2 linked regions of the Macaca fascicularis genome follow. Each later gene encodes a partner of the first gene's protein in a complex. Links are inferred from orthologs where the notes say so. Each region holds a gene or a part of one and is shown in the gene's direction. Other genes may lie near its edges.

Region 1 (6,808 bases):
CAGTGATAGGAATTGGGGGTGGGGAGGTGGTGGTGGGTTGAGTGAAAAGAGGAGCTGTGTGGTGTCTGAAAACGAGCATAACAGGCATGGCCTGGGTAGGTAGGAGCTCCTGGAGACCCCTTCCCTCAGTCGCAGCAGTAAGTGGGCTGTCAGTGCCATTCCATTCCTGCTGTGCTGCAACTGTGACTTTGCTTGGACAAGTGTGAGGAGGCTGGTGTTCTGCCGAGAGCTCTTTTTGAAGGTGCTAGGGAAAGGCTGGCTGGACAAAGGTGAGAGGACACAGGGTGCGGCCTGGCTTGAAAAGGGCCATGCAGAGGCATGCCGCTCTGGTGTGGGAAGCAGGGTAGTGGGGTGAGCTTGGTCTGCTTCCCTGTGAATTAATTGGAATAGCTAGCATTGAGATTGAGAGTTAAAGGTAACAACAGAGTAGGCCCAGGTTTTTCTAGGGGGTGGATTTTTCTTTTTTTTAGCTGAAGTCTCACTCTGTCACCCAGGCTGGAAGGTAGTGGTGTGATACCGGCTCACTGCAACCACTGCCTCCCAGGTTCAAGCGATTCTCCTGCCTTAGCCTCCTGAGTAGCTGGGACTACAGGCGCCTGCCACCACGGCCAGCTAATTTTTTTTTTTAGTAGAGACGGGTTGTTCACCATGTTGGCCAGGCTGGTCTCAAACTCCTGACCTCAGGTGATCCACCTGCCTTGGCCTCCGAAACTGCTGGACACGGTGTGGCACCACGCCCCGCCGGGGTGGATTATAGGCTTCAAAATTTGGACATGTTTTGGGAAGTGGAAAACATTTAACCTTGGCTCAACACTAGAATCTGAAGGGGGGCACAGAGCCAACTCAGAAGCTAGAGGCTCCAAGTAGGGGCTGAGGAAAAGAGGCTGGGGTTCGGCTTTCCTTTGAGAAGGAAGAGGGACACTTGGTCAGGGTCTCAAAGGAGATTGTTTCTTCTGGCTCCTTTTTTTTTTTTTTTTTTTTTTTGAGATTTGCTCTTGTTTCCCAGGCTGGAGTGCAATGGTGCGATCTTGGCTCACTGCAACCTCCGTCTCCCAGGTTCAAGCAATTCTCCTGCCTCAGCCTCCTGAGTAGCTGGGATTACCGGCATGCGTCACCACGCCCGGCTAATTTTTTTTTGTATTTTTAGTACAGATGGGGTTTCACCATTTGGCCAGGCTGGTCTTGAACTCTTGACCTCAGGTGATCCGCCCGCCTCAGCCTCCCAAAGTGCTGGGAATTACAGGCATGAGCCACCATGTCTGGCCTCTTCTGGCTTCTTACTGTTAGATGCAGGAGGGTTGAGGACAGCTCCATGTGAAGAGCAGGTAGGCTTGTACACCAAGGAACATTCACAGGGAGGGGCACACTGAGCTGGGAGCCTGCCTTCCTCTTCTGAGTTCCCCTAACAGCTGCTGTGGATGTTCTGAAGGGCTGTGGACAAAGTTGTCCTCTGGGTACAGAGCAATGGACTTTCCACTGTATGCCTGCCCCCTAAGGTTCCTAAAGCCTGGAATTCCCATTGACAGAAATTTCTGAGTGGCACATAAACAAAATCCAGCACTTTCTGCCGTGATTGCAGCATTTTGAATGATGTCAGATTCCCATTCTGTTCCCCCTAGGGCAGTTGACAGGGCTGGTGCAGGGTGAAAGCCTAGTGGGCCAGAGTGGTCAGGTAATTGGGTGTCATCCTCTCCTCTGGAGTGCCACTACATCATCTCTAGGTCCAGAGATGATCTGGATTAAGACAGGGCTTAAGTCTCCTGTTTCCCAGGTTTGTGGTCAGTTTTGACTCAATCTTCAGAAACAAGGTAAAATAGTAAATGAACAACGGCCTTTGTGAAGGATCTGGATTCACATCCGACAGGAACAGCTCTTTGAGAACCAGAATTTTACTCAATTTCGCTAGCATCAAGTTCTTAAATTATACATACTTAGAACTGAAAACGTTTAAGAGGGTCAGAAAGCTGGCCAGAGGGGCAGTTGCTTCAGCTTTAATACAACAAAGAGGGCGAGTGGGAACTTCGAGGTCATATTTGTGACGGACTCAGGCTTGGCTCTTGGTGGCCCGGAACTGCTACGGGCCACGCTTCTCTGGCTTGGATTTCTGAGGCCCACTCGGGCCACGGGCATCTACCCCGGGATGAGGGAACGGAGGCCCCAGAAGGGTGGCCAGAAACGATGGGACTGTCCACTCGAGGTGCGCCTGGCACTTGGGAGGTCTCAGTAAAGGCTTCGCCTCTCCCCGCCCAGGGCCTTCTTTCCCGCGCTCCCTGGCTGCTTTCCACAGGGACGGGGATGTCAGGTGGAAGGAGGGAGCTACCGGCCCTGGCCTCGGCGGAGGGCTCCTCACCAGGGCCCGGGCGGCAGCCTCCGAGAGGGCGGGCCGCGCGCTGCCAGGGCAGGACTCGACCGAGAGCGCCCCCGCGGCCGGCAGCTGCGGGCGCCGCGGCGGGAACAAAGACAGCACGTGTCTGGGCGGGGCGCGGGCGGGGTCGGCCCTCAGCCCCGCCCTGCTCGGCGCCCGCCGAGCGTCAGCAGAGTTGGGCTGCGCGGGCGCCCGGGACTCTCAGGCGGCCGGGCTGCTGTTGGGCGGCGGCGCGGAGCCGGCGGCGAGCTGTGCGGGAGGGGCGGTCCCGAGGGGCGGGGCGGGCCGGCGCCGCGTGTCCCGCCGCCGCCGCCGAGTCCGGCTCCTAGATGGGGCCCGGTGCGTAGAGGTGCCTCCCGCTCGTCGCCGCGTCCTACCTGCACCGTGCGCGGCTCGAGCTGAGGACATCAACGGCCGCAACTCCCCGGCGAGACCAGGCCGGCGCGTGGACGGCGCGCGCGCCCCGCGAGGGAGGGCGCTGAGGCGCGCGCCGGGAGCGGGAGCGGGAGCGCGGCGGCGGCGGCAGCGGCGGCGGCGAAGGTGCGGGCGGCCGAGCCGGGGGGCGGGGCCGCGGCGCCTGCAGAACCTTGGACAGAAGCTGCCGAGCCGCAGCCACCGCCGCCGCCGCCGCCGTCGCCGCCGCCGAGCGCGGGCACAGCCGATCCCCGCCGAGCGCTCCCGAGCGCCGGGACCGCGGCGGCAGAGCCGCGGCGCGCATTGCGGAGGGCGCGGAGCGCAGGAGCTGCCGCCTGCCGGGTAAGCCTGCGCTGGGCGGCCGTCCTTGGCCCAGAGGAGCCGGGCCCGGGTCGCGCCCGTGCGGGGTGTCCAGGCGGGGGTCTTCGTCCGCCTCCGTCGGCGCCCGGGCCCCTCCCAGCTGCGCTTGGGGACCGCAGCGGCGGCGGCGGGCGGGGGTGCTGCAGTGGAGGCGGCGAGGCTGCGGCGCGGGGGCGCGGGGCCGCGGGTAGGGCCCGGGACTGGGGCCGCGGGGTCCGCGGAGGCGCGGGGCGGAGGGGCGCGGCGCGGAGCCCAGCTTGGCGCTAAGAACCATCTTGTTTTCCAGGCAGATCCAAGGGGGCAGCACGCTTCCCGGGAGCGCCCCCGCCTCCTCCCCGGGGCCACCGCAGGCTCCGTGAGTGGTTTTATCCCTCCGGCCGGCAGGCTGGGCGCGCAGGGGCGCGAGCCCCCGCCCGGCGCGCAGCGGCACCATGGGCACGGTGCTGTCCCTGTCCCCCAGCTACCGGAAGGCCACGCTGTTTGAGGATGGCGCGGCCACCGTGGGCCACTATACGGCCGTACAGAACAGCAAGAACGCCAAGGACAAGAACCTGAAGCGCCACTCCATCATCTCCGTGCTGCCTTGGAAGAGAATCGTGGCCGTGTCGGCCAAGAAGAAGAACTCCAAGAAGGTGCAGCCCAACAGCAGCTACCAGAACAACATCACGCACCTCAACAATGAGAACCTGAAGAAGTCGCTGTCGTGCGCCAACCTGTCCACATTCGCCCAGCCCCCACCGGCCCAGCCGCCCGCACCCCCGGCCAGCCAGCTCTCGGGCTCCCAGACCGGGGGCTCCTCCTCGGTCAAGAAAGCCCCTCACCCTGCCGTCACCTCCGCAGGGACGCCCAAACGGGTCATCGTCCAGGCGTCCACCAGCGAGCTGCTGCGCTGCCTGGGTGAGTTTCTCTGCCGCCGGTGCTACCGCCTGAAGCACCTGTCCCCCACGGACCCCGTGCTCTGGCTGCGCAGCGTGGACCGCTCGCTGCTTCTGCAGGGCTGGCAGGACCAGGGCTTCATCACGCCGGCCAACGTGGTCTTCCTCTACATGCTCTGCAGGGATGTTATCTCCTCCGAGGTGGGCTCGGATCACGAGCTCCAGGCCGTCCTGCTGACGTGCCTGTACCTCTCCTACTCCTACATGGGCAACGAGATCTCCTACCCGCTCAAGCCCTTCCTGGTGGAGAGCTGCAAGGAGGCCTTTTGGGACCGTTGCCTCTCTGTCATCAACCTCATGAGCTCAAAGATGCTGCAGATAAATGCCGACCCACACTACTTCACACAGGTCTTCTCCGACCTGAAGAACGAGAGCAGCCAGGAGGACAAGAAGCGGCTCCTCCTAGGCCTGGATCGGTGAGCACTGTAGCCTGCGCCATGGCTCAAGGATTCAATGCATTTTTAAAAATTTATTATTAAATCAGTTTTGTGTACAGTATGTGTCTAGCAAAGCCACCAAGGGCCTCACCTTTCCCACAGTCTCTCCCTGGGGTTTTTTCAGCCCTGCCAAGAACTCTGGGCACTTTTGAACTCACGAGCCTTGCGCAAAACCCAGAAGATGTATTCGGAGCCACCCAGGCCACTGACCTCCCACTTTGGGGAACTCAAAGAACTGACCTGCCCCTGCCGCCTGTGCCCTTGCTGGGTCCAGGGTAGGCGAGGCTGCCGGCTGCACCCTGTATGGCGCTAGAGAGGGGACTCTGGCTGCCTGACCCAGGGAGGAATTGGGGTTTCTGGTTGGAGGCCCTTTTCTGGCTCCTGTGTGGAGTTACTCGCTCTCCCAGAGGCTCCTGGAGCCATCCACCCTAACTGAGCTGCCAGTGGGGTCATGAGGCAGGATCCCCGCTGCGCTGGGACATCTTCAATCTAGGCGAGGCGAAGCTGAGCAGGTCTAGTGGAAAGACTGTGTCTGGTCGTTTGACCACACACCGCCCTGATTTGCTGTTTTCTTTTTTAGGGAGAAGGGCTTTCCTTTAGTGGAGAAATGGAACTCGCCCGTTGCCCCCTTGTCTGCTGCTCACAGCCGCATTGCTGGTATTGGCCGATGAGCTGCTTTGACTCATTACTTTTTCTCATTTTGGGTCCCAGCTAAAGAGGTGGGGTGAAGCTGGAGACGACTTTCCTGGGTGAATTTTTCTTTTGAATAATGCAGTGCAGTCGCCCTGTGGCAAATGCCAGGACAGCTGCAGGTGCCCATTAGCAACGCCTGCCTTCTGGGCAAGGTGAGGGATGCCATACCTTGAGACCAAGCCGGTGCCCACCTAAGGGCTAAGGCCTCTTGCTGGTGCACATGACATTTGTCCTGCAGAGCTGGGGGGAAGGCGATGTGGTGGCCCCACCCCCACCCCTGTTAATTTAAAGCTGTTTCCAAACAGTTGAGTTTCTTCTAAAGAGGAAGACTTGCCCCACAGGGACCAGTGAGACAGCTGGATCTTGGAGACAATTACAAGACGGGAGTGAGACTCCTGATTGCTCTGGAAGCCTGCTGATTTCTACAACTGATCATTTGCCGCTGCTGGTTTTGGTTTCCACCTTCCCCTACTGGCTGTAAAAACACAAATGTGTACTTTATTGATTTTCTTTCTCATTCTCCCGTATTGGTGGCTTGGGACTTGGGAGAGGGAGCAAGCCTTCCTCCATGGCCCGTCACTCTGCTGTGGAGAACAAAGACCAATGTGAAGACGCTACAGAGGATTCTGTCTTCCAGGCCCAGTCCCCCCAGGAGTGCTGGAATGGGGACCTGGGGTGGGGAGGCAGAGGGTCACTTTACATAGGATTAGGTTCAAGGTGGTTACCAATTTCAGCACAAGCACTACTGAAATTTACACAAAAAGAAAGCTGTGAAATTGAAGTCCCAGTGTTAAGAGTCCTGAAGCAGAACCTGGTGGCCGGAGGCATTCCCAGAGGTGGGGAAGAGAGCCTGCCCTGCCGGAGAGCAGCTGCCTGGCTGCACCTGAGGCCCAGCGGAGCCGTTCCTAGGACTGTCGGATAATCGGTGCAGCATTGGAAGGAGCCTGCGGCTGCTGGCACAGACTTCACACAGCACCTCCTCTCTGCTGGGTTTCCACACAGCCTGTCTTCAGATCCTGCTGCCGCGTGCGACCAGAGGTGGGATGCCCCTGGTGGCATGGAAGAGGGAGGGTCAGTGCCAAGTCTCAGGAGGAGGGCGCATGTGTGTATCACCTTCAGCTGGTGGAACCTGACCTGGAGTTGTGCGGTTACATTGCATCCACAGGATTCCAGTTGCGTGTCTGTTTCCTTCTCTTTCTCCGTATTTATTTTTTTATTCTTTGGAAGAGGTGGACATTTTGGAAGTGGTGGGGACTAAGGGAAGAACTCTATAGTTCCCTCAGTGTGAAGCCTGTCGTGTTCCCTCTCTTCCCTTGCACTGGTCATCAGTATTGTGTAAAGGAACAACTGATATACTTGAGTGTGCAAGCAAAGAACCCATTTGCCATGCTGCTATGAAGACTACTTTTAGAACAACAATAAAAAAAAAACCTACAAAAAAACCTTTATTCTTTAATTGTTGCTTTTACAGTGATATTGTGCATGCAAACCAGGAGCATTTTGTGTCTTAAGAAAAATAATCTTAGAACAGATGGCTGTGAAAATTACACCCATGCACAGAACAAGCCACAGGAATAATAGTTCAGGATTTGGTTTTTCTCTTT
Region 2 (7,008 bases), on another chromosome or scaffold:
GGGAGGGGGTGGGCACCGCAACCTTGAGGTTCTGCCTCTGAGGGGCGGTCTGGATCCCGCCCCTTCAGAGCCTGGAGCCAGGAAAATCTGAGTGGCAGCGCTGCCATCCTCCTGACTGTGACTGTAGGGAGTCTGGGGAGGACACTGTATGGTGGGGGCAGAGAAGGAGCTGCAGGAGGGAGCCCAATCCCTGCAAATAGGGGGCCTATTCCTAGTGGGTCAGCACAGGGGACACCCAAGACTGGCAAAAAGTGATGGTACCGATGCTCCCAGTGTGTTGCTGGGGACTGGGGGTGCCCGACTCAGGAGTAAGACAAGTCAGTGTAGGGTCAAACAATATAGGTCGGGGGGGGCTCACCCAGGATGGGGAGCCTGGCAACACATTCTTGGCAAGCACTCCAATTCGGCTAACTACGCTCTTCCCCTCCCCCTCAGCAGGCCTTCAGCCAGGGCGAGCGGTGTGGGTGAGCGTGAGGGCACCCAGTTTGGGAAGGTTGTGGGAAGAGTCCGCCCTGAGCACCTGCAGGCGCCCACTCCCACCTCAGGCTGTGCCCTCAACGCGCTCCTCCACACTCTTCTGCACCCCCTCCCCCGCTGTCCCAGAACACAAAGCAGCTTCTGTCCAGAGCATCGGTGCCGATAATCCGGGTAGGGGCACATTCCTCGGACCAGCCCCGACCGGCCCAGAGGATTAGCATCTCTCCCCTTGCCCAAAGGATTAGCATCTCAGACCCCCACTTGGGCATTAACCACCCCCCAAGTGAACTCGTAAATTCCACAGCTCTTCCATGTGGAACTGGCGGGGGAAACCAAGCGGGATAAAGTAGACCCTGGATTTCAGGCAGTGCCGTCTCTCACACCCAGCACAGAACTCCCCGCCTAGACAAACCGACCCCGGGAGTCAGGTCCAACTCTCCGGGCTCGTCTTTCCCATCCCCACCCAGCTGCTCCCTCTTCTGCCTGACCCCTTGTCCCGACCTTACCCGCCACCCGCCTTTCCTGGCTTCGCCTCCCAACCCGGAGACTGGGGATGGAGGCCCCGGGCAACCCCCAGTCTGGGCGCCCCGGACGGGACTGAAGGACTATGCGGGGTGGCCGGAGGGGAGGGATGGTCTGGAGCCAGCCGGGGAGTGGGAGGGCCGGCGGCTCCTCAGGGAGACTACCCACTCCTGGTGGCAGGGGGCGCGGCACCATGGCTTTAGGGAACTCTGAGAAAGGGACCCCGGAATGCCCGCCTCCGACCAGCACTCCATCCGCCTCCTCATCCTTCTCCCCAAGACCGCGGTTCCCCGCGCCCCAGTCTCCGCCCTTTCCTCCACTTCCACTCCCTCCCTGCTCGAGTCCCGAGTTCCCCCCTCTCCTTCCCCCTCCCTTCCTCCCTCCGCGGCCCTGGCCCTCCCCCGCCACCGCCTCTCCGCTTACCCGCTCGCTCTGGACTTCGTGCCCCGGGGGTCTCGGGGTCTCTCCCCGTCCTCCGGCACCCTCGCGCGCTCCCGACTACTGCCCCGTGCCCACCCCGGGGCGCGCCCCCGCCGCTCCCAACTTCTCCCAACTCAACTTTCCCCCGCGCCACGGGCAGGCCAGCCCCCTGCGTGCGCGCCCCCCGGCGCACCGTGCGCGGTCCCGCCGCCGCGGGTGGGGAGGCGGGAGCGGGGGCAGGGGCGGGGGCGCGCTTCCAGGCACAGCCCGGCACCAGGGGCCGCCCCCGCCGTCCCTCTGCCCCAAGCTTCCCCACTCCGGGCTTGGAAGCCCCGAGGATGCCGTCTCTTGGCTCCATTACGGCACCTCTGGGTGGAAAGGAGCCCGCCTCACGCTACGGATCCCAGGCAGTAAAACGCAGGCACAAGGAAATTCGGAGAAGTCGAAACATAAACGTATCGGGATTGAGATTCTCTTGCGGCCCCCCTCCCAAATAACCCCCGTGCCTCCAAGAAAGCCCCTGAGGGACGGTGGCGAGCAGGTGAGAAGGGTGACAGCGGCTGGAAGCTGGCTGCCCAGTACCCTGAGCTGATCTGGGAGAGGGCAACTTGTTAGGGGCTCCCCACTTCCTGAGAGGGACAGAGATTCGCTATGGTGGCCTCCTTCCTCTTGAATGGAACCTCCACACTGAATCGAACCCTAGTCATAGTCATCACTTATCATTCAAGACCTGTGTGTAGTTCTTGTTTGCCCAACGAAATCACAAAGTCTTCCAGATAAGGAATGTACTTTTCGCTTCTTTTCTCTTGTGTATGCAAAAGCATTCAGATAGAAACGAGTTAATTAACACGTGTTTGGCAGTAACTCTGGTTCCGGTGCCGAGGAGTGCTGTTTGGGATCCTTTTCCCTCGGTCCGTAGCCCTCAAGAATGCAATCATGAGACAATTAGAGAGGCAGCGCAAGGGAATCTATAATCAACTCCTTTAAGGGATGAGGTAGAGGCTGCTGCAAGTTGAGCATCGGTCTGTGGTCTTGTCTGTGGAGGGGGTTAACCAACCTGCCGGCCACACCCTGGCTGACTCCAGTGGGCCCCGTTCCGGAGACTGGGGTCTGGGGGGACCTCCAGGGCTCCACCCAGCTTTTCTCAGCATGTCAGAGTTCAGCGGCTGGAGTCGGGTGGGCTCCGAGACAACAAACGGGGCCCAGCAGAGAGAGGGGTCTTTGGCGTGTGTCCCTCCACTAAAATCCAGCCTCAAAGGGGCACAGCTGTTCTCTTCCCAGCCCTGCGGTCAGCTGTTCCCTGTGAGGTCATCATCGCTCACATGCATTCCCCAGTGAATCCTGGTGTCACTAGGTGGCTTGGGGAGAGGTGGAGGAAACCCGTGCTGAGGTCGTCAAGAGGCCGTTGGGAACTCAACGCCACCAACCAGGTCAGAGCTGGGCCGCCAAGGCTCGGGATCTAGGCCGCCAAACCCCAAACCCCTAACCGAGAGCGCTCCGCCCCCATCCCCGCTGCATTCTGGAACGCGTAGTCCCGGAGCAGCCCTTTTCAAGAAGGCTGGGAGCACATAAAAGGAATAACAACAGCGGGGCACGCTGGGAACCGCGGCGCCGCGGCGGGGCGCCCGGAAAACGGACACGCGTTGCTCCCTGGGACTTGAAGTCCAGGGTTTTGCCTCCGCGGTGGAACCGGAGCCCTGGAGTCTAGTGCTGCAGAGAGCGTGAGCGCAGACGGCTGGGGTTTGTAGTCTTCTTGTCCTCGGTCTCGGGCACTGCGGGGAGACCTTGTTGTCTTAGGACTACAAGCCCCAGAAGGTACTGCGCGGCCAGGCGGGGCGGGGCTGGAGGCTCGGGTGCCGCCTCCTCTGCAACGCCGGGGCCAGAGTCTTAAAACCGAGGGCCCGCAGGGGTCCCCGCGGCCGCCGCGATGCAGAAATACGAGAAACTGGAAAAGATTGGGGAAGGTAATGGAATCTCAAGATGTTCCTGCAAGAGCCCCTCTGCAGATCCTTCGGCATTCCTTGCAGCCCTGGCTCCCTTACCGTCAGCAATACCTACAGGCTCCGACCTCAGCAGCGGCTGCAGCCCTGGCCCCCGAGCTCAGCACTCCGTGCAGACACCAGTCTTCCCGGTGTTAGCATTTCCCGCAGGCTCTCACTCCAACCTTAGCGTTCCCAGTAGACCCGACCTCCCAACCGCGACACTTCCTGAATTTCTCACCCCAGCCTCAGCACCACTTGGACAACCTCACCCCGAGCCCCAGCCTCGGTTCTTGCTGCAGACCTCCAACCTCAATATTTCTGCAGCCCGTCAGTCCTCTCCCAGGCCCCTCCTCACCATTTCCAGACCCTTCCGGAGCACCGCCTTCATTTTAGACATCCTTGCCCTCGCAGCCGCACTCGCCCCTCCTGCTGAGCCCCTGGAGCCTCCGCGGGCACCTTCTCCTCCCTCCTCACCTGCCACATCCTCACTCACAAAGCTCACCCACCTACCTTCACCCTGAATCCCTTTCTTTGCATATTCAGACGCTGCCTTCACCTCCCGGGAGGCATTTCCTGGCTTAGGGAAGAGTGCCGCATCCTCCCCCTGACCCCTGACCTCCTTCCCCTAGGCACCTACGGAACAGTGTTCAAGGCCAAAAACCGGGAGACTCATGAGATCGTGGCTCTGAAACGGGTGAGGCTGGATGACGATGATGAGGTAGGACTGGGGACTGAGATAGGGCCTGGAGAGGGGGTTGAGGGCCTGGGCTGGGTGGGATCTGACTGCTGCCCACCCGGCCCCCTCACATATGCAGGGTGTGCCGAGTTCTGCCCTCCGGGAGATCTGCCTACTCAAGGAGCTCAAGCACAAGAACATCGTCAGGTGTGCGGGAGGCGGGTGCTCCTTGCCGGTGTGGCCGCTTGGGGGAGGCGGGGGCTGACACTGGACGTCTGTCAGGCGGACCTGCATGGCTGAGCCCTTCTTTTGCCCTAGGCTTCATGATGTCCTGCACAGTGACAAGAAGCTGACTTTGGTTTTTGAATTCTGTGACCAGGTGAAAGGCGGGGTTTGGGGGACAGTAGCCTTGGGAAGGTATAGGGGCCCAGACTGAGGTTAAACTCTGTCCCATTCCCCCACTCATATCCCTTTTCAGGACCTGAAGAAGTATTTTGATAGTTGCAATGGTGACCTTGATCCTGAGATTGTAAAGGTGAGGAGAGTGGTGTTGGGGGACCCCTCAGGCTGGGGTCAGAGTCTGCATTCAGTGTAAGCACTCCTTGGGCTCTAACTTTGGGCCCTGAACAAGGACGCTCTGGGATGTCAGAGAATGAGAAAACCCTGTTTCTGCCCTCTAGGAGCCTCCAGTCTTAGCAAACATTTTCACGTGGTCGTCTTTGACCCACACAGTGGCACTCTGACGTCAGTGATAGTATTTACATTCAGAGATGAGAAAATGAGGTTCAAGGAGATACACTCATTCATTCAATACATACTTACTGAATGCTTCACTGTGTGCCAGGTGCTCTTCTAGGCCCAAGACCAAATGCCTTGGTCCAGGTTCCAGGGGAGCCAGTCCTGAATGATACTACAGCATGATATTTATGTGCTGTAGTATCGTGTGCATACTCAGATGCCGCCAGGAAGGGAAGATCAGCATGGGCTAGGATCTAGGCGGGATCTAGGATCCACCTGGCAAGGCCCATTAGGCTATATGGTCCAGGAAGATGGGGACCAGGGCCAGTTTCTTCACTCTTGTCCCTCTAATGCCTAGTACAGTATAAAGCAGGTTCTGGATGGCGAATGAATGGTGTCACTCTGAACCAAGTGCTGAAAGGTGGGTGGGGTGGAGTGAAGCACAGGGTGAGGAGAGGAGCCACCCATTGCTGGGCACAGTTGCATGTTCAGGGCGTCTGACTCCCTTCTGCCTGCTCTCCTCCCAGTCATTCCTCTTCCAGCTACTGAAAGGCCTGGGATTCTGTCATAGCCGCAATGTGCTACACAGGGACCTGAAGCCCCAGAACCTGCTAATAAACAGGGTACTTCTTGGGAAGAAGGTGGGGAGTGGGAAGCCTGGGGCCAGGGCATGGGGAGCACGGAGGGAAGAGGACTGGGAGGATGGAGTCTGTGCTGTCCCAAGGCTGCTTAAAGGCCCTTCTCCATGTCCCCTTCCCATTCCCCTCAGAATGGGGAGCTGAAATTGGCTGATTTCGGCCTGGCTCGAGCCTTTGGGATCCCTGTCCGCTGTTACTCAGCTGAGGTGAGCTAGGAGATGGGATATGGGATTGGGGGAGGGAGTCCCTCAGCTCCAACCCCAGGACCCAAAACACTATTTTCCTCTCCTCTCTGAGCCTCCTCCTCAAACCTCCTCCCCAGCCCTCTAAGTGGGAGTCCCCTGTCGGGGGGCGGTCTCCTCCAGGTGGTCACACTGTGGTACCGCCCACCGGATGTCCTCTTTGGGGCCAAGCTGTACTCCACGTCCATCGACATGTGGTCAGCCGGCTGCATCTTTGCAGGTGACGTGCTGGGGCGCTCCAGAGGCACCTTCTTTCCCATTTGGGTTGACAAATAGGGTCTGGAGGGTTCCCTCTAGGGGAAGGGAGGGAGGCTCTGGGACTGGGGCTGGAAGGTCAGGGGGCACCTCAGAGTGAGGGGTCCTTCACATGTCACATCTTATCCCCCTATCTGCTCCCCAGAGCTGGCCAATGCTGGGCGGCCTCTTTTTCCCGGCAATGATGTTGATGACCAGTTGAAGAGGATCTTCCGATATCCTTGTTTTCCTCTGCCTTGAGCCCTCTGGGAGGGGACAGCCCATGGAGTTTTGAGTGCAGTGGGTGAGGGCAGTGATGGTGTGGGGTGGGGTGTTGGGGTCTGTAGGGCTTCTCTTGAGGGCAAGGGGAGACAGCAGAGGTGCTGGACACCCTGATTGTCACAGTGCAGATACACACTGGAGAAGGTATGGCTTGGAGACAGGCAGTGTGCCCTGGGGGGCAAAGCCAAGAGGGTGTCCCTCCAGGTGAGAGATGGATGCCAGGATGAAGGAGCCAAAGACAGCAGGACACATTTTGTGGGAGCGGGGCAAGGACCAGTTCATTAGGACTAGGACAGCAGCATGTGGGTTAGACTAGTTAGTGATTGTCATGGGAAACGTGGTTGGATGTACGAGTGACGTGCCCGGGGTTGCTTCTGTCAAGCTCAAGCCAGAGGGTAAAGGGAGGGTGAGAGAAGTAGGTGGTGGGTATGAGGAATCCTCCCCGGGAGGGGAAGAGGCCCTCACCCTGCCCCTGAAGATGCAGCTGTGGCCCTTTCCCAAGTGATCCTTGACTCCGTGGACACGCTGCTGGGGACGCCCACTGAGGAGCAGTGGCCCTCTATGACCAAGCTGCCAGACTATAAGGTGTGATGGGGAATTGGGGGGTCATGGTTCATCAGGGTCACTCTTGTTTCACATTCCTAGCAGCCTCCACCCCCCTCCCCCTACCTCTAGTCTGACCCTCCCTGCCTTTCCACAGCCCTACCCGATGTACCCGGCCACAACATCCCTGGTGAACGTCGTGCCCAAACTCAATGCCACGGGGAGGGACCTGCTGCAGGTAGGTGACTTGGGGT

The links.
Region 2: the proteins of CDK5R1 (region 1) and CDK5 are in contact, whole or in part, in a crystal structure (PDB 3O0G), measured with the Homo sapiens proteins. The link is inferred for Macaca fascicularis from reciprocal best matches to the Homo sapiens genes CDK5R1 and CDK5. Residues at the interface, in NP_003876.1 of Homo sapiens: Trp190, Gln193, Thr197, Pro198, Ala199, Phe203, Tyr231, Leu232, Ser235, Tyr236, Met237, Gly238, Asn239, Glu240, Ile241, Ser242, Tyr243, Pro244, Leu245, Lys254, Glu255, Trp258, Asp259, Cys261, Leu262, Ile265, Asn266, Ser269, Ser270, Met272; in NP_004926.1 of Homo sapiens: Leu37, Asp38, Glu42, Gly43, Pro45, Ser46, Ser47, Leu49, Arg50, Ile52, Cys53, Leu54, Lys56, Glu57, Val69, His71, Leu76, Arg120, Asn121, Val122, Leu147, Arg149, Ala150, Phe151, Gly152, Ile153, Pro154, Arg156, Cys157, Tyr158.

The regions. Positions count from the first base shown.
Region 1 is NC_088390.1:38,865,604-38,872,411, forward strand, and holds the start of CDK5R1 (cyclin-dependent kinase 5 activator 1), read left to right. Parts: upstream 1-2,946; 5' UTR 2,947-3,121; intron 3,122-3,429; 5' UTR 3,430-3,570; coding exon 3,571-4,494; 3' UTR 4,495-6,808. UniProt on the Homo sapiens protein: p35 is a neuron specific activator of CDK5. The complex p35/CDK5 is required for neurite outgrowth and cortical lamination. Involved in dendritic spine morphogenesis by mediating the EFNA1-EPHA4 signaling. Activator of TPKII.
Region 2 is NC_088377.1:192,333,975-192,340,982, reverse strand, and holds the start of CDK5 (cyclin-dependent kinase 5), read left to right. Parts: upstream 1-3,300; 5' UTR 3,301-3,346; coding exon 3,347-3,383; intron 3,384-3,911; coding exon of another isoform or gene 3,912-3,938; exon of another isoform or gene 3,939-4,007; intron 4,008-4,030; coding exon 4,031-4,119; intron 4,120-4,216; coding exon 4,217-4,284; intron 4,285-4,395; coding exon 4,396-4,456; intron 4,457-4,555; coding exon 4,556-4,612; intron 4,613-5,342; coding exon 5,343-5,438; intron 5,439-5,584; coding exon 5,585-5,659; intron 5,660-5,818; coding exon 5,819-5,915; intron 5,916-6,095; coding exon 6,096-6,165; intron 6,166-6,735; coding exon 6,736-6,796; intron 6,797-6,911; coding exon 6,912-6,992; intron 6,993-7,008. Other genes in the region: uncharacterized protein, read right to left, coding at 3,912-3,938. UniProt on the Homo sapiens protein: Proline-directed serine/threonine-protein kinase essential for neuronal cell cycle arrest and differentiation and may be involved in apoptotic cell death in neuronal diseases by triggering abortive cell cycle re-entry. Interacts with D1 and D3-type G1 cyclins.